Struthio camelus: one gene and its partner. The protein of the gene in region 1 interacts with the protein of each later gene in a pairwise test. Links are inferred from orthologs where the notes say so. Each region holds a gene or a part of one and is shown on either strand. Other genes may lie near its edges.

Region 1 (11,620 bases):
AGTTCACGTACTAATGTAACGTGGTGTCTGGTTGACACATTTCTGTATGGTTAAATTACCTTTGTTATAAATAGATTCTACTTGAATCACTTTCATGTTATTTTCTGTCTTGTTTTTTCCAAATGTAGAAGCTCAGGAAATGAAATTGCTGGACATGTTTCGGCTTTTTGCACGTCTCTTGAGATCACAAGAGCCCCAGTGGAAGGTCAGAGAAAAGCGACAAAAATTTGGACAATAGGAAGGACTGCCATTCTTAAAAGGAAGAATAAAATAGATAACGATTCATTATGGCTTCAGGTAATGAATATATGTCTATTGTTGTGGGAACCTTGGGGGGCATCTACAAAAGGAGAGAAGGAGCTTGTTCTAGGCTAGATTACTTGGCGTTCCTTGCAACAGTGTGGGAATTACCAGTGACAAATATATGTCTGACCAGGTGAGGGCTGCCCATAGGTAGAGCCATAAATAATAGAGTGGAAAGGAAGAGGGAAAACGATTTCTTGTAACTGAAGGTTTTTTCAGCTGTTGAATTGGACTCCAAGGGAATGACGGTAATATCATTAATTGACTGCAACTTAAGAAAAGCCTGGAGAATGAGACACTAAAAGCTTACCCTGCCAGGGCAGTAATGCACTGGAGGTAAATCCTAATGGCTCTTCCTCTGTATGTCTTACTTGAATAATTTCTCTAGACTCCCTCCCACTTGTTAGGTTTTGGAGGTTTGACGGTATGGGGAGGTTCCTTTTGTGCCCTGCTCACTTAGTCTGAACCCAGCTGGAGCACAGCCACATGCCTTTGCCTGTAGTTCTCATCAGAGTGGTGCCTTGATTAGCTAGAGGGTAATTGCGCATTATGCAAGGTGCCGCAGCCACAGCTGGTGCTTCCTTGGCATTTCTGACCTCACAGGCTGAAAATCACAAAATCTTGGTCAGAAATAAAGCAGGCCTCTGGAATTTGCAGATCCTTTTTGAAGGCAAGTATTTCTGAAATGGCTAACAATGGAGACCTTAGGCGAAACAGCAGTAGTTCTCGTGTGCCAGCACTGGAATTAACACTTGTAATCTTTATTCTGAAGCGGAATAGCTGGCCTATCCCAAGCATAATAGCATCTGAAATGTCCGCATCACCTTGCATTGTGCGTTATAGTACTGAGTTTCGCTAGCGAGATGGAAGAAAACCAGTCAATGTAGTTAATAGATGTTGAAAAAATGCACACTTCAATGGATTTTCGGTGATATTTCTCTGTACGGACATATATCACATGGATGTACCCATGTAAAATGTTCTAGAATCACAGAGAAAGGGTTTTATAAAATTCTAAGAAAGAGCCAGGACAGAGACATTAAAAATATTACCAGAAGAATGTACTATTTTTTATGGATTTCCTAACGTACAAAGTAACTGGCATAACATGTCAAAGTGCCTGTAACACACTTGGAAGATTCTTGTTGTCCCTTGGCTGAAGTAAGAAAATTGTGGTTTTACAGAAGAATGCATCTCTTGAGTTCTTTCTTCTTTCCTGCTGGGTCATCTGCTAACATTGACAAGTTCAGGCTCCTTTTTAGTCTTAGCAATCTGGAATGGTAAGCTTTAGGTTTGGTTCTGTTAGTGTTTTCACTGCCTGCACTGTAATTCCTGTGTCAAAAAAGCCATTAGCTTGCTGCTTTGATTATGCATCCAGCTACATAATTTCCTCCAGTATAACAGTTGCTTATTTTTGCATGGTTTACATTATGGAGTCTGTACGTCTCCTGCGACACAGCTAATTGTCTGTTGGCACCAGTTGCCCTCTCTCTTTGTGGATGCAGCACTATTTTTGACTGCTGCCTTGCAAAGAAAACACTGAAGAGAAAGCTGATTTCCAAACTGAATAGAACCAGGTCTTTCTTTCATTGATTTGTATCCTAAGGAAATAGTTAAAGATGGGGTGGGGAGAAGATCCTATCTTGAATGTTAAGCAACTTCCCTAATTATGATTTATGAAGCTGTAGAAAAAGTTTCCTGTGAAAGCTGTGGAAGATGTGCAATTTTTAATGATAAAGCTACCTTAATTAATCTTTTCTCCTTTTATTTATAGAAATATGCCTGAAATTATTATTATTTTTTAATTTGTAATTTCAAAGCAATTTAATCCTGCCTTGGTGTATCACAGGTACAGAAATAATTTGGGGCTCTGACAGGTAATAAGGTTATATGCAACTCATACATCCAGCACTTAGTGTATGTATAATGTTGTTAGAGATGCGTGTTGTGCCACGAGTCTTTGAGCCACCGAAGTCCACTACTCTTCCATCTACTGGTCAGATATTAATTTATGATGTAGCTGAAATTAAATGGACAGCTTACTACTGCGAACAAAGCGGCAGATGTGTCCAGCCTCTCAATAGCAACCACGAGCTGCATCATTTTGCTGCAGCATTTCCACTGAGTGATCAATATGCTTCTTAGTAGCTACCAGGGATTTAATCATCGGATCTTCATTGTAAAATATTTCAACACCACAGATAAAAATTATAATGTAAGAAAGTCCTAGCTCTAAGGTAGCTAAGGTTGAACATCACTTTGACTTCAGTCGAAGCACTCATCATTTATCTGGGCATGGGCAGAGCAGTAGTTAGGATTACGGGAGGTCCTATCTGCAGAATAAACTGCAAATTTCTTCATTTTTGAACAAGGCCATTCACAGCTTTCGGCTGTGTGCACGTAGGTTTGTTAATATAACACCTTCAAATGATTAATCTTACCTTTCCGTTGTAAACAAGCACCAGGTGCGCTAAAATGCAGACACAAGGAACGCTGTCATAAAGTTTGTTGTACTTTGTGCACTCAGTCATGTTACTAGTTTAAATCTGGTGTCCTACGAACAAAAGGTTCTGAGAACAAAGTCTTCTTTAAAATATATATATATATAGTTAGTGAGTAATAACGTATAAACATGCCTTGCAGTTTGCTGATGAAATAACACGCTTCAGATGTGCCAGTGCAATTCAGGACAGTATACTTTTCCCCTTCCATGACTTAATAACATACCTCTTTTTAATACAATTATGTTTTTTTTCAAAGAAAATCACATATTGCATACATTAAAAGAAAGGCATTTTGGAAGAAGAAGCTGAAAAGCAGAGAGAATAAAGGACCCACCTGTAATAAAGGTACTGGCCAATTTAAAGTTTTAGCGTGTTTCAAATATGTTTGTTTAGACTTGTACAAACAGGTGCGGATATTTTAATCCACTTCAAATGACTTCTATTAAATGAAGTTTAAACCAGTTCATAAGTGAATTAATCTAAGTGACCATTATTCAGGTTTAAATCAAATTTCTTTCTCCGTATTTCCCACAGTTTAAGCAAGCTAGGTTCAGTTCAGGTACTGAGTTCCGCGAAACTTTGATGTTGCGTAAAGCCAGAGCCTTTTTTTTTTTTTTTAACCTTATACTGCCTCGCCTGTATGTGAGAGCTTCCAGTCTCTGTACTCCTGCTGGTAGATTGAGATTTTACTGTGTTTAGATTGAGCATAACAGCATATACACCTGCACTTTGGAGCCTCAGCACCAAGGGCGTTGGATTACAATGGCAGTTGTGAATGTGTGAACAAGTCAGAAGACAAGTGTCCTGTGATAATAGGATTAGTATTAGTAGATTGAACTCCTTTATCTCTCCAGCCAGTAAAACATCCATTGTTTTACTGCTGGCTGACATTTTGCATTTAAATCAGATTTTTCTCCAGACTTTGAAAAATTGTTATGTGAGTATAAATAAGATTAAGCTGATGTTGCAGTTCTTTATTATCTGAGCCATTAAGATTCAACACCTGAGCCAGTCCCTTTGTAAGTAATTGTGAATAGAAAAGGTATTGTAAGAAAGTCTGAGACATTTGAAGAAGAATGCCTGAATAGATTTGGTGGCAGTTTATGACTGAGAAAAATGATACAGACTTTGTGGTAGAAAAACTATTGTTCACATCTGTTAACTTGGCTTTTATCTACATTAGTTTGCAGTTATAGCACATAGAACATAGAGGGTTTTTTTTTTCCCTACAGAGATAGAAATAGATTTTTTCATGCTGAAGACTGTTGTACCTGTTATTCTATGCTATTCTGCAGAAAGTGCTGAGCTTGAAGATTGAACCTGTAAGGTACTGAACAGTAGTGTTGTTTGCTGCTTTAAACCTATACTGGCAGGACACAAAGTGAATTTTCTACCGGAATGGAATTGGCTTTCAGTTCTTGTCATGCTTTTGTCTTCCAGCGTGACATCCCCACTGTAAATGGCTTTGTCTGTGGACTCAGCTTTGTATCGCTGGCAGCGGCTGGGAGCTCACCATCCCTCCCAGGCTCTCTCAGAATCAACACCACTACTCTCTTCTGTCAGAGACAAACCTAAATTCAACTTAAACAAATGGAGGATTGTGTTCCCTAACAATGGGAGGCAGCAGAAAGACCGGGACCAAGCTGCTAGATTTTATCCTGGAAACAGGATACAGACCACAAAATACACCTGGCTCACTTTTTTGCCCAAAAATCTCTTTGAACAGTTTCACAGGTAAAAGCTCATTGAAGGACATGTGATATTTGAGAATTCTCTCTGAAGAACAATATTTGAAGGTGCTGGGGAAGGGCTGCTTTTGTTCTTATTATATTACTAAAATGTAGTTGATTGTTTATCTATACCCAGCTATTAGCTGATTCACACTGAAATGGAGGGTTAAAGTGAATAAATGCTGTGCGCTAGCCTATGCTGGGTCTAACGTGCTATTTTTGATCCTGAGGCCAGCTTCCTTGAGTGCTGGAGCGGTCCTCTATGTAAAAATTTCAAATAACTTATTTAAAAACTCCTCTTTTTCTGTGTTGAATAAACCTCTAATTTTTAAGAACATGAGACATTTTCATTGGATGTGTTTGAGACATCTATTAAATTCTGGAGAAGTTTTCAGAGTCTTATACATAACTGTAGTACATTTTTTAGGGAATTTAATTGAGTTTATCACCATCTTGTAAACAGTATACATATATATCTATACCGTATTGTATATCAAAAATGGCTAGTGCTAGGTCAGGTTTCTTTCCAAAGCTTGATGTGGCGTGAGGTACCCCAGCATAAGGAGTCATGTCAATAAGATGCCTGGGGAAATATCATTATGATAAAGATAAATGAAAGCTGTCTATCCATCTCTAGCTTTGAAATTTCTGTTCGGTATATTAGATTTATACCTCTGTAATTTCATCTTCCATTTTCCATATACTTGCTAAACTCATGAAGGCCTTCATTGATTCCTGCTGGGGACAGTTCTACAATTCTGAACATGTGTTTTTTTATATCCATTCTGTTACACTCGTTTGGTTTTTGAGGATTTTGCTTGATTTTGTGCTTATTTTAAAGTCTGAGGCAGTGGGACATCATTAAAGAAGTTTTAAGTCCTGATAAAAGCATTTGTAATACATCAAAAACTTAAGGTAGCTATAGTATAATAGTAAAGTAACTGATTAATCCTTTCTAGGAGAGGAAGAGGAGGTACAGAGGTGACATGAAATGAGGAATGTTCAGCAAGAAAAAGACATGTTTTAATTTCTGACTATGTTTAATTTCTTTCATGCCCTTTCAGGCTGGCTAATCTTTATTTCCTCTTTCTGGTGGTTCTAAACTGGTTCCCACAAGTGGAAGTCTTCCACAGAGAAATTACTGTGCTGCCTTTGATTGTGGTGCTGCTTGCCATCACAGTGAAGGATGCTATTGAAGACTACAGAAAATACCAATTTGATAAGACTATAAACTCCTCTAAAACAAAGGTATATGACAAGTAAGTAGACTAAACTGATTATTTTTTTCTTGCATTTGATATGGTGGAAACTGCTCATCTGATTTCGCAATGATTCCCTCACTGTCCCTTTGGATCGCAGTAAGTTTGGAAAAGCTCTTATAAAGTGTTTTTTTTTCTGCCTATAAAGCGTTTCATTTATGTCACTTACAGTCATCCTGATATCACTCAGGTTTTGTCTCAGGCTACAGCAGTGTGTACTGATGTTCAAGTTCTCATTCCAAGTTTCTAAACCAGTTTGCCAGCACGCACAACCTGGAGGAAAAGTGGCGCAGAGCACCTGAAACGTAGCCAAGTCTGGAATGGACCACTGGGACTCTTTAAAATCGTGAAGCAATGTTTTTCAAAAGTTTTCCACTAAAACTATCAATACAAAAATTAATAATGAACTATATTTAAGGCAAAGCATAATCAGGAACTGAAAAAATTCAGTAGGACTTCCAGTAAGTTCAAGTGATCAATACATCACAGTTTCATTTTGGAGACAGTACAACACCCATGTGCTGTAAGCTGCAATGTTTGCTCGGTAGTGACTCAGAAGGAAGAAATATTTCTACGTGTAATCCTTATTGCAACATTTAGATTTCGTCAGAGTTTGTTGTTGAAGTGCTAACTTGACTTAACACTACTTAGCTTGTCACTGTGTAACATAATAGGAATCTTGCTTTGGAAGGAGTTAAAATATTTATATCTGTTCTTTTATCTCGCTCCTCTTTAAGCCCAGGTCTGTAGAGAAGAGATTACTGTTTCGTATGCATTCATGTAGTTCTCTTGGAAATTAACTGTCATATATGCCGTATATCTACATGCAGAGGCATGAGATCCAATGAGGAAAAAGAAACGAGGGGTAGGAACAAATTACTGGGTGGGAGAGAGACGCTTTGGGTGTCCAGAGGCTAGAGGACTACCGGAGGAGAAGGACCTGGCTGAGGGGCAATCTAGGTTAACTGCCCTTGAATTGCCTACTTGTGCTTATACTACACACTGCTACCGACTCATAGGTTTGCTTGGTTTGTGTGAGGATTTTTTTGGTTGGTTTGTTTGTTGTTTTGAATAGTCTGTGAAATGAGTGTGACAATAAATAGTAGATAGAGGAAAGAAGTGCTGTCTCTGAGGAGGTTTATAGCAGACTGCTGTTGACTTCGGAGGCGCAGTGCTCTGCCCGTTACCTTTGAACTTCCTGTTAGCTCCCATGGAGAGCAAGTGATTCAGAAAAGCTTCGAGGGAACCGTGTAAACTGCGCACGTTCTCAGGTTTGTCCCGGTTCTGTGCTAAAGCAGAGACGCTTCACCTGAGCACATACGCAAGCCAGGGAAATGCTGGGGATGGGGCCTCCAGGCGTATCCTAACAGGAATAACAACCCTTTCAGGATGCTTTCGTGTTGTGACGTGCTCCCCGGCAGGCTGTAGGACCGGCTGAGGTGAGCCGGGATGCTACTGTCTTCAGGCAGGTGGAGGCTGTGATCGAGTGAGACGGCTGTGAACTCCAGACAGCTTGACTCTTCTCCTCCCTGCTTTGAAATTTATCTGGATTAGTGAACTATTTTCCCTTCATTGTTATCAAATTTGAAGCAACGTTCTGGCAGGAGAACAAGATGTCACGGAAAAGCGTTCGAGGCTGCTTCTCTTTGAAGATATGGACAAAACTTTTTTTCAAAAACACATGCTGCCAGTGTGCTTCTTCTGACACTGAAATTCAAAATGAAGAGATGGAGAGGAGAGGAAAAGTAAAGAAAAGAAAGAGGAAAAATGAAAATAAACGAGTGATCATCTCCAATTTGCCCTTTGGAAGAAAGAAGTGGAAGGAAAATCCAAACAGACACTATGACTGTAATGAAATTAAGACTACAAAATACACCCTCTTGACTTTCCTCCCTAAAAATATCTCTGAACAGCTTCACCGCTTCGCCAATATTTATTTTGTGGCCATCGCTCTCCTGAATTTTGTGCCAGTGGTTAATGCTTTCCAACCAGAAGTTTCCGTGATCCCAATTTGTGTTATAATGGCTATTACAGCCATTAAAGATGCTTGGGAGGACTTTCGGCGGTACAAATTGGACAAAGAAATCAATAATATGGGCTGTTACATTTACAGCAGGTGAGTTTTGTACAGCTTTCATTAAGAAAAAAGTTGACTTGGGATCTTTCATCAGTATTGACATGTTTTGTTTAAAAACATTTAATATATTGTCTTGCTGGAAAATCAGAATGATTTGATAAAACTGTGAAAAATCATGATGGCTAGGTAAGCCTGGTATTTGTTCTGATACAGGGAAAGATATTTCTGTTTTGCTTAAACCTCATGTTCAAAATGGGAGGGAAAGTTCAAGTTACATAGTATTGGAGTGGCTATCTTTCTTAGATGTGGAGGATAGTGGAAGCCAGGTGCTTACATAACTACTAAGCACCTGGGTTTTTAAGGAAATTTCAAGAGGGCTTAATTCTATCAATATAAGGTAGCACAGAACAAGATCAGGAATGGGAGCTATTTGTATCAATTATAGCCCTTTGCACTTTTCTGAATTTTATACTTTAAACTGTAAGCGAGGCTTCAATTGTATGCAAAATAAAACTGTGTAAAAATACAGTTTAAAACCATAAGATAGTAATATATGCCTCTGATCTTCTCTGAATGAATCAACTAGGAGTGTCTGTGCTGAAGTCTTCAAAATATTTCATATCTTCTTGCTTTTAGGACTTTAAGGAGTTTCAAAATTATATTTTATTAGTTTGACAACTACCCTCTCAGTAGGAAGTGGCTTTTTCCTTTTAAAATATCACATCTGAGAGCTAGAAGAGCAAAACTTACCATTCCCTGAAAGTTGTTTGTCATTCCTCGTATTAATCAATAGTGCTTTATATAGTGTGAGTTCTCAGACATAAAATCTTGCAAAACTCTGGCTTTTGTCATATAGTGCTGTTTGTTTCTTTTGTGCATGTTCATTGGGTTTTATTTTTATATCTTGCTGGTTAAACAGGGAAATTGAATTTACTTGTTTGGGGGCTACTTAAAAAGTAGTCATTTATAAGTTTCTAAATATTATTCATCTAAGAGTACTTTTATGTCAATAAATCTAGCTCTTTGGGTCAATTACAAAAATACTTCTTTTGCCTATGTTTGAGGCTAGAGTCTAGCTGGATTTTTTTAATCTTCTCAGTGTTACATTAATCTATGAGGCAATGAGACCTACTTATTTTTAAGGCCAATCTCAAAGGGAATAGTAGGTGATGCAGTAGATACTAGTGAATGGAACTACATGGGGAATCCCCTTTATTTCCCCTTTAGATAGAATTACCATGGTAATTTATATATAAAAGACATTTACTATGAGAAGGTGAGAAGTGGTGAAATACAATAAAACTTATTTTTGTATATGGGAAAAATATTCCTCATGGAATTGCAATGTACGTGTAGATCCACATTAGAGTCATAGCTGTGAATGCTTTCTTATGCTGAAACTTGACATGGGACCATATTAAAACTGGTCATTCCATCCCATAAATAGGGCTTTGATAATCTATGAATAAATCTTGTCTAGAATGTTGTCTTTCACCAAAGTTTTATGGCCTAAAAAGGCGATGTAAGGGAAAGGGAAATGGAGAGGGCTTCAGACTACAGTGTTCATCCTGTCTGGAAAAATGGTGGGTAATTACAACTGCCATCAAATCTGTAGTTACGGCTTATTATATCATGAATAATTTTAATCAGGCTTCTATAGAGCTTTTGGAAGCTGGTATTTCTTGTTCTTCTTGCTAGCTACAAAGTCATGGAAGAGTGTGGTATCTTCTAATTTTCTTCCTTATGAATCATCTGCTGTAGGTAATTTTGTAACATAGGTGAAAGGCTTTTTCTAGACACTGTGAGTCTTACTAATTTTGTGGCGGCAGAGAATTCTTTTTCATGGAGCAACTGATCTTCCACCCTAAGACTGACAATTAATTGGATTTAAAGGGTTAATTTTGAAGAGTATATTTTCTTTATTTCAGATTTCAATAACAGAATCTCTGATTCTGTGTTCTAAGAGAAACACAAAGGCAGAGTTCTCTTTTCCAAACGCTGAATATTTTCCAAAACTTTCTTGAAGACTGGAGGAAGTGCAGTAGCTTGCCCTTCTTGCTCAGAGTAAGGAACACTGAGTTTAAATTGGCTGTCCTATAAACACATTTCTTCTAATTTTGTTTTCACATAGATCAGCTGGATTTATAATCTAGACTGGTAGCTAAATAGTTAATTGAAAAAAGGGGAGACGATTAATAAAGTGTCTTGAGGGGATATAATGACTTAGACCTGGGGTTTGATTGTGGACGTTTTAGTTTCTAAATTAAAGGGTTTTAGAATCATAGTAATTGTTTATAAACTGTTATGCTTTCACAACAAGTCACACAACAGAAAAAAAAAGACTGAAAATCCAAATATAGATGGGACAGACCTATGTTCAATTGCCTCTTTTCTCCCGATATTCTTTAAAATATACGTTATCTGCTTCTAAATTTTTCAAGCAGTAGGGCTTCCACTGTCTACCAAATGTGATTGTCAAAGCATCTCCTATGATAGTCTGCTTTCATTAGCGCTCCTTAACTGCGTACAAATTCCTCAAGTTAGTTGATTTCATACAAGCCTAATTTATTAGTTTTCATCCATAATATTTATTTATAGTCTTTGAATAGTTGTGGTTGTTATCACATTCATTTTGATACACCTAGCCACCATTGACCTTTTAGTCAGGTTCTGTTATCACCCTCTTCATCTCTCTTACAAGTCCATCCCCCCAAACCTACTTTGGTTACTTTTCTCTGAACTCTCTCCAGTCTGTCCTTAACTTACTAACAACAGCTGCCAGCACTGAATGTAGTATACAAGCCAACTGTGGAACTGTAAGTGAATGCCAGCCCAACACTGACTAAAAGCTATTATTTAATTAACCTGAAGTTCTATGGTGATTGAGAAAATACTCAGTGTACAATTAACCTATCGCTTGGATCTGGCAACCTCCCTCAAAAATATTCCAGGATTAAGCTTTAATGATCTACAAACACTCCATAGCATCCAGGCAGGGTTTTACATTGATTTATTAGTTACATTGATTTCACACCTCTGGAAATTTAACTTAAGTATTTGAGTATTTAATTTAAGTATTTGAGCTGTTCACGCTGCTTAATTTTAAGCACCTAAACTCAGATATCGGAGAAAGTCATTCAGAAGAGAAGTCTATTTTATGTGCTTTGAACCATCCTATGGAGTTGCATGTTAACTAGTAAGTCTACAGGCCTCCTACGTGAGGTGGACTGACTACGCTCTCAGTGAAATTTCTCTGTGATGCTTTTAGATTCTGGGGTTTTCAAGTAGGTCCTACAAGCATTGATATACTCTTCCTCCAAATGATCCACTGACAACATCAATGTCACAAAAAGTCAGGATGGCCTTTATTGTAACCCTTTTCTCTGCTTAGTATAAGGTTTGAGTTCATCTCCTGCTAAAAAAACAAAAAATGACAAAAAAAAACAACAAAAAAAGAGAGGACAGATAGTCTCAAGCCTCTGGCCAGCTTGAAGTCCCATCGCATGCCCTTTGGCAAAATTGCAATTGATGTTGCTATGTCCAAGAAAATCTTCTACATCTAAATAGTGCCTTCTCTGAGTGGTGTATGAGCTTGTATGACTGAGTATCCTGGTTTCATACCCCAGCTCCGTGTAATATCTTGCATGGATGCATATGCATATTCTTATGATAACCACAAAGCATGAACTTTGATCAGCTGGAGCATGAATTACTTCATATAAAAGTAGTGATGTAAGTAAGCTTTAC
Region 2 (12,485 bases), on another chromosome or scaffold:
ACTAATACGACTGTATAAATGAGATGCCATGCACTCTGCCGTATGCTGAACTAAGCATTTTACACTGGTGGCTGTAGCTTTTCCAATAGCATCTGGAAAGCTCTGTGGCAGCTATACCTAAAGTGATTTTTGAGTGAATTATATATAAAGCCAGATCCAACCCATAAAAGATCTTTTCTTCTTATGTAGTCTATAATGAATTATTTTTAGTTTAAATCACTGACATATTTAAAATACTGCAGATTTTTTTTATTGTAGAAGCTACTGGGAGGAACAGAGTGACTTGTATTTTTTGAAAGATAAAACAATGTTGCTTTGCAGCGGGAGATAGGACTTGGGATGCCAGAAAAAGTGCATTAACTCAGTGTCCCACTGAGATGACTAGAACAGTTCATCTTTGAAGCTGTAATAACGCATTGGTATGTAGTCAATTTGATCTTCATGTTTGAGTTTTCTTTCCAGCCATGGGAGCTATTTTTCCTTCTAGATGAGAGTTCTGCAGCAAATGCTCAAATTGTAAAGTGGCCTGTATAAACTTCCTTGGGGTTTATCTGCACTGTAAAAAGTTCACTAGTATGACTATTCTGAGTAGTCTAAAACAATAAATGCTGCTTATACTTGCAAAAGAGTCATTTTGTTGGTACAGCTTACACCATTTCCCTGTAGAGGAACATTTTGCCTGTACCAGGACTTAAGTTGGTACACCAAGTTTGTTAAGGAGTGTGTTTTTTTTCTTAGAGCAAACACTTTATGCCAATAACATAGCTGTGTCTGTAGATGATGTTTTAGAGTGAGTCAAAAAGAATCCCAGCTTGCAGAGAATAATATGGCTGAGGTGAGTCACGTTTAATATGTTCCACTTACTTCACTTGGCTGTGCAGCAGAATGACCCTAGTTATGACCCAGGTCTTCTATTTTCAAAGCGTTATTTCTGCCTCAAAACCTGTCCATATTAAGAACTACACTGAGCTCATCTGGAATGAAATTGCCAGCTATTTGAAAGGCACAGTGACATGCTTGAAATAAACTTCCACTTTTAAACATGAGTAAAACATAAATAAAACCTTATTCTGAACTTGAGGCTTGATTTAAAAGGTCTCAGCCAAGGTAGAAAATATTTTTCCTTGTCTAGATTTTAATATAAATCTGATTTAGTGTGAGTCTATGTATAAATCTTCCCCTTTTGTTTTATAAATAAATACACATTTATGGTTCTGAAAACACATTAAGATTTTAAGCTTTAGAAAATGAAGTTTTTTAAAGCATAAATGTAGTTGTGGTGTATTTGAAACCCGTCTAGTTTTTAAAATATTTTAGATGAACTGCGTCACTTTGGAGTAGGAGGCTGGTCACACTGGCCATACAAGAGCAGCAGTGGTATATACTGTTTCATTGTTGATAATGGTTTCTGCAGGTAGAATAATAAATTGTGACTGATCTGACACCTGGCAAGCAGCTATGGATTTCATCAAAATGCCAGGAGGGTGAAACCCAGGTGTGCAAAGGGTGCTTTGAACGCTGTGCTTCGAACGGTGTACTTCCAATGCATTAATGTTCCTGGTTAATTTTTTACATGACCTAATTTGTATTTGAATCTACAACAAGTGAGTAAAGAAAGTGTGTTAGCCACATAATTAGCCTATAGTTTGGGACACTGCATAAAATTTACTAGTAGAGATTTAAAATGTGGTTAATTCTACAACTATTCTCTTTTTCGAAGGAAAAAATCATAAAGTGTTTTCAGACTAAGACAGTGTAGAGGCTAGCTTGGGCTATCGATATTGGTAACTTTCAGCAATTGAAAATCAATGAAAAAATCTGCTTTTCTCTTAAAGAACACAGACTGTTTATAGAGGATTGAAAAGTGTGGGTTAGTCTAATTAGATGTGATAACATAAAAAGTTTAAGCCTATTAAAAGTCTCAGGTGCTTTGATTTCTAGAGAAAAACTTTTTTATAGTCACTGAGAGTGTTATACTTGCCTCATCTTGAAACGAAATTAGACAGAAAGAGGAGATAAAACTACCTGTTTTGTAGAACTACCTGTAAGGTAGAAAACAAACTATAAATAGAAAATTGACATTGTTGTCCTGAATGTTCAGCTTCCTACTGTGAGTTGCTGAGTTTTATCTCTTTCTCTGAACATTAACATTTATTTCTAAGAAGATGACTTTGAATTTAAGGCTTGTTTTTACTTATAAAGGTACATTTGCTCACTAAAATAATCTATTTAGCAGTTGATGCATTTTATTTGCTTTAAAGAGCTGACTGTTTTATACATTAGTGATTTAACGCAGCATAAAGTTTTACTTATTTGGATTTTATTTTAATGAGTATTAGTTATTTAAATCTTTCCTAGAAATAAGTGCACAGTGGGATTGGATAAGTGCCAGAAGAAGAAGATCATTTGAGGGGCTTAATGAAATACAATTAAAAAATAAATGCCACTCGGTAGTCTTTCAGATTAACTACAATTACATTCGTATTTCTACCGCTGAAATCAGACTTCAGTTTCTAAATTAAAATTTTGAAAATTTAACATTTATGCTTAGGTTATCTAATACATGTTTTCTTCTTCCTTACCTTGAAGATTAATAAACGTAACACGCTGAGGTCTTGACTACGTACCATGGCTCTGTAGCAGTCATTGCTAAGTTAATTATTAACTAATAAATGAGCCTGCTGTTACACATATTTAAAAAGGAACATTTTAAGTGCATTTTTTTAAGTATTTTTCTTTTATTTCTATATCCATTTTTCTTATAGCTGCACACAGACCAATGTGAAGTGTAATCACTGCATCGCGCACCACCTCAGTGTAAAATTTTGCGACCATGAAATTTGTTAGTTTTACTTTGTTGACTATAAATGAATTTGCCTTAGCATAAACCTGTGCAGTAACATCCATCCAAGGTCTTAGTTTGCAGTAAAACCAATATTATAAAGTATTTGTGCTGATATCCTTTATTTCTCTAAAGAATAGAAGTAAGATAGACTCTGTGATTGCATCCTCACTGAGGATATAATTACTGAGGATATAATTATTTTGGTAAAGAGAAAAATCATGCTTCTAATTAACCTAGTGGTTCTGCTGCAAAATCTATGGATAGGCCAAACATATGGATGAGCGTATGGACTTGAATACAATTAATTGGAAAGAAATAGCTATAACTGGCCAATAATAATATTGGTCATACTGCCCATTGATCTGTATGGTAGGCTAAATAGTCTTTCCCTCTTTCTGTTTCACATCATACACTGGGTAAGCAGGGATTAGCTTGAACGCTCCCCTGTTGCTTTGTTAATATGGCAGTACTTACCCGAAAACCAGGATTTAGACGTTAGGACTTAGCCACACCTTTTTAAATCTGTTCAGCTCAGAATCTGACAGCATTATAAAAGCAGCAGATTCCACTGGGATGGAAAGAGGAAGAGGAAGTTCTCCATTTCTCCCCTGTTTACGCTTTTCTCAGATTTATCTGGAGCCTTTGTGGCTGGCTAGGACTACATTACCAAGTAATTTGATACAACAGGAGCAGATCCGTACACTGAAGTGCTGAGGCTCTGCATATCTCCATTATAAGTAATTTGAGTTTTCTTCAGATTGGATTTAGTCTGGTCTCTTACGCCAAATGTCTCTCCTGCACGTTGGTTTGAAGTTTTGTGAAGGAAAACTCTCATACAAATCCCTGCTGCGTTCCCTTGACGGAGGGCCTCTCTGCAAGACCCTCTGGGAAGCGCCCCACTCTTCTGCCTCTTTCACACGGAGATGGTACCACATCAGTGTCTCCATTAGCGTCGCTATCACTGCGGCCCACGGCCCTGCACCACTATCTAATGAGGCCATTCCCCAACAGCAACAGAGCCCATGCCTAGTTTAACCGTGCCCTTACAGCTCACAGAACCGAAGTGGAAGAGAGAAGTGGCGCAGAGATTAAAAAGAAGTAGGCAGACTCTCAGTATCTCTCTGTCTCATCTGCCTTCCCTCCTGACCCAAGACAAGCCTCTTTGTGCTTGTAAAGGCTGTGCAAGCATCAGCTGTGGGTCTGCTCAGAGGCAGTAAGGCTTGACAAGAACTCGTGAGGCTGGTGGCAGATCCATGTCATTAGGCCGTACAGGATGGGACAAACCCTTCTCCCTCTCCTTTCCACAGGGAAGTAGGTGCTCTCATTGCCCCCCCTTCCTAGTTAAGCTCTCAGGATGACTCAACCCCCTCACGCTGTGCCCAGTTTTTTGGCTGAAATACTCTATTCAGAGAGTACTAGTGCCCTTCCAGCCTCCTGGTGGGTCTTCAGTTCCCAGTGGCCCATGTTGCCTGCTCCAGAGATTCCCTGAAGCCAAACATTTTCAGTGTCCCAAACTACCCCCCCTCCTGCCTTTTACGTACAAAACCAAGAGGCTCTGCCTGCCTGTCTCTCTTGCAAAGATTGCAAGAGGGACTGCGCCTTTCACTCTCTAAATGGGCTATCAACATGCCATGGCCTCAGGCTCCCTCTTCCACCTCACTACTACCCTACAGAAAGGAAAGCAAGAAACTTTTACAGACAGAGGGCAAAAATCTCAATTGGAGAAACATCTGCAGCTAGGCAGAAGTGCGTGAACAGAAGTGTTCAAACAACAAAACTTGATTCCTAGAGCAGATCAACACGGCCCATAGCTTGTAAAAAGTGTAGTGTAAAATAGCGTGCATGTACATGCATATATATATTAAGGGAGGAACAAGGTGTCCCAGGATGTTTGAAACTGGGGCAAAGGACAAAAACTAGGGAAAAGGGGAGGGAACAACATGACTGAAAACATGAACAGTCAACTGTAGGCAAATAGGGCCCACTGGGGAAAAATATGAATAAAATCTGGCCATCGTGGCCATCTAAATACAGTGGCAGGCACAAGGCTGTGTGCAGAACAGCACAGGGCCAGGCAGCCCCCATAGCCCACTGCTACAGCTTGACTTGGGTGCCTCCACGGGGGCCCTATAGGCTGGGGGCGCAGAGCCAGAGGGGCCTAGAGGACCCTCCTCAGGATCAGGATGAATTTTCCTTCTTCCTCTGGCTCTTTCTGCAGCTGCCCCGCCATCTGCAGCATAACTGGGTGGCTCTGGAAAGAGACCGAAGGCCTCCCACAGTTGCTGTTTCTCCTACCACCCCCCCCAAGGCCTTCTGTTCCCCCTGCCAGTCCGGCCCTGCTTTGTTTTGCAAAGTGACACATCTTTCTTGCTGCTCATGGGGCAGGGAGGCAATTTGTAGCACTGCTGTGTGCAGTGCTCTTGCCTCTCCATCAGCTCGCAACCTGCTGTGTTCAGCAAAGGCAAGGGCCTTGCAGTAGAAGCTAGGAAGGCTGTGTTATCAAGGCATGCTGCATGTGTAGCTTACCCTGCGAGATGTTTTCTAATGTAATTAGTGGATTTCTCATAGCACCGGGAGATTTACTTTTAAAAGCATTAACAGTCCCTTACAATCAGATTGCAGTTCTGAATCCACTGTCTCAGTATCAAAAGAAGCCTAATGCACACTTTCCCCTCCCCTCCACAGGCATATATCGAAAAGCAGTACATTTATCTAGGCTGGAAACTGGGGCATTGGCATAGGGGACTCTTGATGTCCCTGAATGTGTCCTTTTGAGGACTTCTGAGGGGTCCAGTAATGAGGACAGGGCCACAGAGTGCTCTCTTCTCCAGACTCTCCCGTTATGGTTGTCAAAAATTATCCTCGGTAACCTGTGACTTTGGTTACTTTAGGTTAACAAAGTGAAGAGTGGTTGCCATCAGGCAGCTGCCAGAGAAGAGTAGTTGCCACTGTGTGATTTAAGGTTCCTTAACCAAGGCAACAGGAGATAAGGAAAGGCATAAGGAAAGTTGGGGAACAAAAAGTAACTGCTTAAAAAAATACATTACCTGACTCAGACAAAGAACCGAAAAAAATACAAAATGTGATCAAACAGCCTGTGAACATCTGGAAACAAGGAGGAGCTGAGTCTACCTCTGAAGTGTACTGTCTCCAGGTTCCCAGTTCTAGGATGTCTGGCCCAAAAACTGGTGAGATCTTATTAGTGGAGATGATGTATTGTATCCATGCTAGCATGGCTTGTCTTTGTATCTTTGCTGCTGATCGCTCAGTTGGTTCTACTCAGATTCATCCCTTTGGCAGCCCTGGGACCTATGACATGGACAACAAAACAAACATTGGGTCAGAGACGTGTTTGGCAATTCAAGACCTCTTCAAGGTCTCTGTAAAACCTGCATGCCTGCCATGCCATCCTTGAAGTTCGAGGGCTGGCTCTTCAGGAACACGTTTCTTCTTCATGAATTTCACGTAGCCTTCCTTGCCAGTCCTCTTGTACCAGGCAGCAGTCATGATCTTACCAACTGCCTGATACTGTTACTGGGTCATCCTGCTGCCAGTGAAATTTCTTGCCATCTTACAGCACAGGTTTACCAGCAGTGTTGTTTCCTTGGTATCTTACTTGGCACCTGGGATTTCCTGGGAGGCTGAAGGAGTGAAAGTGATGAACTGAAAGATGATAATAGAAAATGCAAGATAATGAGGAAAAGGGATTAGGGGATTAGGTAGGGGGAATAACAGAACAGAAGGCAAGGCCCACTAGAAGATAACAGCAAGGGTAAATTATATGTAGCTGTAACACAGATGCCACAAGGAATATGATTTCCTTTTTTCCTAACAGAATTCTAAACAATTATTTAGGAATCAAATTTATTCGCAAATGCTAGATATTTTTAAAAAGTGTCCACATTTCCTACACAGTCTTCGAAGAGAGGGAAGTGCTTTTGGGTCTCCGGGGAGAAGTTGCATATGCTGTTAGGAGCTAAGGAGCTGTTAGGTAGCCAACTGCTCCCTCCAGTGGTCTTCGGAGATACTATCACTCTCCAGACAACTAAAATGCAGGCATCTATTTTAGGAAGAGAGTTCCCCGGTGCGGGTAAGCAGTCTTAGACAGACAGGATTACATGCTTATAAAATTATTTAAATAGTTTCAGTCAGAATGCTTACTGAAAGTATACACATACGTAAATATTCCTTGGGTTTTGGCTACATTGTCCTACACAGTCTTTACGAAACCAACTTTTAACATAAAAGCACCAATAGAGTGAGAGAGAGGGACTCCGAGTGATGCCCAGAGAGGTATTCTGAGCTACAGACATGTGACCCCACAACACTTTCTGTTAAGGTGACTACTTAGAAAGGAAAGCTGAGCAGAAGCACGATCTGCTCCTTATGAGGGTAAAAAACCCCTCAGTTCGGACAGAAACGGTGCTCTCTGCGCTCAGGGCCAGGACCCTGGCTCACGCACGCACCACCACCCAACCACGATGCGGTTCACCACACCTTACAGTTCAATTTCTGAAGAGAAAGCGCCAAGGCAAAGCAACTCCCATAAAGGGACTGCTGGTGCGAACAGCTTTATTGAGGTAAGATCTTGTAACTTTGCTGAGAGTTGAGAGACGGTCCGTAAGCCTCCACTACTGTAAGAATGAGGCGGTTGCTCTTTATGCGAGTCAGAAACTGAAGTTACTCTCTCAGGCGCCATCCAGACTTGGTGCAGGATTATACTGCCCCTTCCCAGCACCGCCCTTGGGACGGATGGGGACGAGGCGGGGACGAGGCGGCCGGCGGGGTGACAACGCCACCACCCGCCACTCCACCGCTCGGAGACGGCGCCCGCCGCCGCCGGCCCGCGCATGCGCTCTGCGCCGGCCACCGCCCCCGACGCGCGGAACGAGAAGAAACGCGCAGGCGCAAGCCGCCCTCCGCAGGGCCGCGCTTTCTGCTCTTGCGCATGCGCACCTGGGAGCGGCCCTCCCTACCCCCGCCCCCGGTGAGGGTGGGGGCGGGGCCAGTGCGGTGCGTCATCAGCTGCGCGCCTCGCTCTGCTGGTCAGCCGCGGCCGAGAGCGCAGGCGCGGCGGCGGGTCACGTGGGGGCGGCGGCGGGGTGCCGTGCGGCGCGGGGTGTTGGCGTCGCCGGCGGGGCCGGTGGCAGCGCGCGGCCCTCGGTGACGGGGCGGGCGGCGGCGGCGGCGCCATGGCGGTGAACTACAGCGCCAAGGAGGAGGCGGACGGGCACCCCTCGGGCGGCATCGGGGTGGCGGGCGGCGGCGGCGCCGTGGGCGGCGGCAGCGGCGGCGGCGGCGGCGGGGCGGTGAAGACCCGCAAGCCGGATAACACGGCGTTCAAGCAGCAGCGCCTGCCGGCCTGGCAGCCCATCCTGACGGCGGGCACGGTGCTGCCGGCCTTCTTCATCATCGGCCTCATCTTCATCCCCATCGGCATCGGCATCTTCGTCACCTCCAACAACATCCGCGAGTACGAGGTGCGCGGGGCGGGGGTGCGCGGCCTGGCCTCGGCCCCTCCGCCGCGGGGGCCCTGCCGAGCCCCGCGGCTCCTCGGGCCGGCCGGGGCAGGGGCCTCGGCCGGGCAGGGGCCCGCCGGCCCTGGGGAAAAAGGACTTGGGGTGCCGCCGCCAGGCAGGCAGGCGGGAACCGGGCAGCATTAAAGGTGTTAGGGAATTTGTAAGTAGCTGGTTTGTTGAGCGCCAGGCAGGAAAAGACCACAGTAGCTTTCGCATCGGGAAGCGGAGATGGCTTGTGTGGTTTCTATGATGAACAAATACCTCACCCTGTCTGTTTCAGTTTGGTTTAACGTTTATGCTCTTTCACGAGCTACCATTAATTGCCCCGGCTAAACGTTGAAGTTAAAAGCATGTCCTCTGGATGGACTGCAGTTTTCCTGCCAATGTTAAGTGAACTTCTGGGAAAATTAATGCCAGTATGTAGTTAGCACACAGCTTAATGCTGATCTTTTTCTCAGTAGGGAAAACAAGTGTTCATCGTTTGTGGGATAACTTATGATAATGGGCAATATCTGATGTTTCAAGGTAGTTATGGTTTCAAGACAGAACTTTGTGGTGAATGCATTGCTATAATTTTTGTGTGATAACAGCTCATCATTTTAGATGCTCTCCAAGAGCCAGTGTGTCGCAAGTAGACTTAACAGCAAAGATCCAAGAGCATGAGAGCTTCGAGTGTCTTTTTCTACATATACTTATAAAAAGTGGAAGTAATTTATCCCTGAAACTTAGCCACACTGCTGTCCTGAGCTGCTGCTCACCGTTTGTCAGAACTGAACCTTATATCAACATTAGAGCCGTTTTATAGCAGGATCACTTTATGTTCTAAGGAAACTTTCCCTTTGGGCTAGAAAACATATCTTAGGCACACGTGTGCTCAGATTGACAGCTCTGATTAGTTCTAGTAAGCTAAGGGGACCAGGACTGATGAGGGAGGGAGCAGGAGGGAGGTGTAGTTGATTTGATCCATAAAATAAATATTCTCCAGCACGTCAAACAATCAAATTATTTAAGTAACTTGTCCTTTTCATATATGTAGTGTTCAAAATAGTGGCTTAACTGCTGATAATCAGTGGCAATGAAGCCCGATTAACTAAAGAAATTGTGAGGTAGACAGTGAATAGTAGTATCTTTTTGTATATATTGCACAACATGAACAATGTTAACATAAAACCAGAAAAGAAAAATGACCATTAAATTGTTTAGAACTAAAACTCCACAGTCAAGAAGAATAAAAGCTGAAGTTAAAAATCACAGCTGAAGTGCCCTTTACAGTGTCCTGATGTTGTATGGAAGCTTATTTAAAAAAAAAAAAAATGCTGCTTGTGTCAAGGTTTGAGGGTATGCATAATACTTTAAAATTGACACAGGTGCTTCAGAGAATATTGCCAAGTTGTCATGGATACTTAGACTTTTTTAATGCCACTTTGTGGTCATATTTAAGATAAATGTCCTTTTGAAAATAAATGATTATATTTATTTTAGAAGAATAGTAAATACACTCACTAACACTGATTTGCTGACAACTGCATTCAGAATAGCCATATTTTTGTAGTAAAAGAGCATAAACTCTCAGCTAGTAATGATTTTAAGGTAAATAAAATTGGGTAAATGTATGCATATATACATATATATTTTACAATATCTGAATCAGTGGAACTCTTTCCTGTGGGTTGATCTATAAGGATAGAATACTCAGCAGGGTTTTATGTGAATCCAAAAATGTAAGCCACTCCCTTATCTTATATTTCTGTTGTGTGCATATTCAGAGATCGTATATACTATTGCTACTTAGCAGCTCAGTCCTGTGCTCCTGCTGTCAGGAGCCACAAACTACACATTTCCACCTAGTGTGCGGTATAAAAAGCCATAGGTGAACTAGGAGCATGATTAATACTCCCCTAGGCAGTCAGATTGCATATATAAAGCAGTAGTGGCATCTTACTTTTGGGAGCAAGATGGAAGGCCTGCTACCTTTTCTAATTCCGAGAGATTCATAATTAGAGAGGAATTTATTTATTTTTTTTTTCTGAGTGGGTTCGGACTTATGTTACCCACCTCACTTGACCCTTTCCTCAGTCCGATTATCAGGCTTTTCTGCGGACAAGAGGGACAGAGTTCTTGACTTCTGAGAGAATGACTTCAAGATGTAGCAGTTGGGCTGTGCAGGTGAAAGTGGGGATGCTCATGTTCTGTTCTCTGATCTCGATGCATGTTTCATAAAGTGTTTTAATGCAGAAATTGTATGTGTATAAACGCGCACACACACATGTATATGAGATTATCATTTTAAATGCAGGTAAACTACGGCTTCTTTTCTACTCCAGCTCAGTTTGCGGGGGAGGAGTGGAATTTAGACTGGAAAAGGCTTTAAGGTTGCATTATTAAAATTTAGATGAAGCATTTTACAGTACAACCCTTGGGCTCTAAATAGCAGTGACAGATGCAATTTAAGGTACAGCTACTGCCTGTGTCTCTAGCTTAGATGGCTCCCTCTGTGGTTAGCATGCTAGCTTTTGATAGTAACCTCCAAATGTTATTCACAAGTAGCTGTCTCTCTTGGAGACAATGCATCTAAAAGCTTGATGCAGTGACTAAGCACTTTCAAAAATGTAATCGGAACAGGAAGCAGAGCTAGTTATTTACGTCCACCTCCTCGCCTTCTTACATATGTGTACACACATATACATATAGTTATGTTTGTAAACTTAGTGTATTGGAGTTGAATAGGAGGTGTAATTTATGCCCCCAAAATACGTATCCATGTATAGTTGGAATTATTCTTAGCCGTTTTCTGGAATTAAATATTGTGTCTCTGAGAATTGTGCTCTTCTCATACAGGTGCAAGGATTGAGCAGCAAAATGTAGATGTTCCATTGATTTCCTTTATAAGCACTCATCAGTTCAAAGATGGAGGGTTTCCAACAGCTTTAATATAACAGAATTATAGTTCTTTCATATTGGTTATTCTTTAGCCCTTTCTCATTGTTTCAAAGGGGATGAACAGTGAGGGTAAACACCTCGGGACTGCCATGAAAACAGTTTTCTTGGTTGGAAGATGAGAAAAGGCTGCACGTTTGTTTTTTTTTTTTTCTGTACTGTTAAAGGGTGAAGGAGACTTCCTGCCACCCTGGAAAGGGAAAGATCATATTGGCAGAGCATATTAAAAAACAGTAAGAACTGACCAATATCCAAAAAATCAATCTCTTTCTTGGTAGGAAAGAGATCCTCTTCCTGTGCCTGCCACTCTGAAATCCATAGCAGTAGTTAAAAAGGCAAGTAGACTATGAGACAGTAGTGGGAAAGGAGAACCGAAAAAAAGTAGATTACCGTTGCATATATCTTCAGTGTTGTGTGCGGTTCCGGTGACCCCATCTCAAAAATGATACAGAGTTAGTAATAGCTATAGACAGGGACCACTAGAACACCAGAGTTACGGGATACCTTCTATGCAAGAACTGGCTAAGTAAAATAGGATAAATTTTTGAGGCATGAAGTATATGAAATCACAATTGGTATGGAGACTATGCATACACAATAGTTGCGTTATTTCTGTACTATGATAATACAAACGAACTCAGAAGGAACTCAGCTGCCTGAAAAGTCATGGCAGATAAGTTTCATACACTTAACATCCTTAAATCACCAGTTGTTGAGAAGAACCAACCAAGAAAGGACTCGCTCTCTGGGTTTGTCATATTCCGCCTCTGGCTGTTCCCTGGAGACAGGATGCTGGGTCAGACGGATTTCTGCTGCAGCCCAATAAGTCAGTTCTTAAAGTAATGATTTTGTTATTTGTCAGGAGATGGAAACAGAGATCAGATTTATATTAAGCTATCGCAGAGCTTTAAAGACGTGTAGATTTCTGCTAGCTTAGCTAAAAGGATAAACATACCTGTTGAATGCAACCTGTAAATGTGGATGCAGAAAGAAAGATTTATGTTGGCAGTCACTGTACAGTAAAGCTCTTGAACAGAATTGAAGCTGAGCACATTGCTCAAAAGCATGGTTCTGTTTTGATATACATCACTTTCATGCATCACACGATTTAGTTATTTTCCAAAGGAGATGTTCTAACAGAGACTAAAGAATACTTCAGCAAGAGGGGGAAAAAAAAAGCTATG

The links.
Region 2: the proteins of ATP10B (region 1) and TMEM30A interact in a protein complementation assay, tested with the Homo sapiens proteins (2 studies listed by IntAct, with this or other methods). The link is inferred for Struthio camelus from reciprocal best matches to the Homo sapiens genes ATP10B and TMEM30A.

What each region holds. Positions count from the first base shown.
Region 1 is NC_090954.1:14,523,995-14,535,614, reverse strand, and holds the start of ATP10B (phospholipid-transporting ATPase VB), read left to right. Parts: upstream 1-7,079; 5' UTR 7,080-7,409; coding exon 7,410-7,912; intron 7,913-11,620. UniProt on the Homo sapiens protein: Catalytic component of a P4-ATPase flippase complex, which catalyzes the hydrolysis of ATP coupled to the transport of glucosylceramide (GlcCer) from the outer to the inner leaflet of lysosome membranes.
Region 2 is NC_090944.1:43,288,247-43,300,731, reverse strand, and holds the start of TMEM30A (cell cycle control protein 50A), read left to right. Parts: upstream 1-7,983; 5' UTR 7,984-8,037; coding exon 8,038-8,325; intron 8,326-12,485. UniProt on the Homo sapiens protein: Accessory component of a P4-ATPase flippase complex which catalyzes the hydrolysis of ATP coupled to the transport of aminophospholipids from the outer to the inner leaflet of various membranes and ensures the maintenance of asymmetric distribution of phospholipids.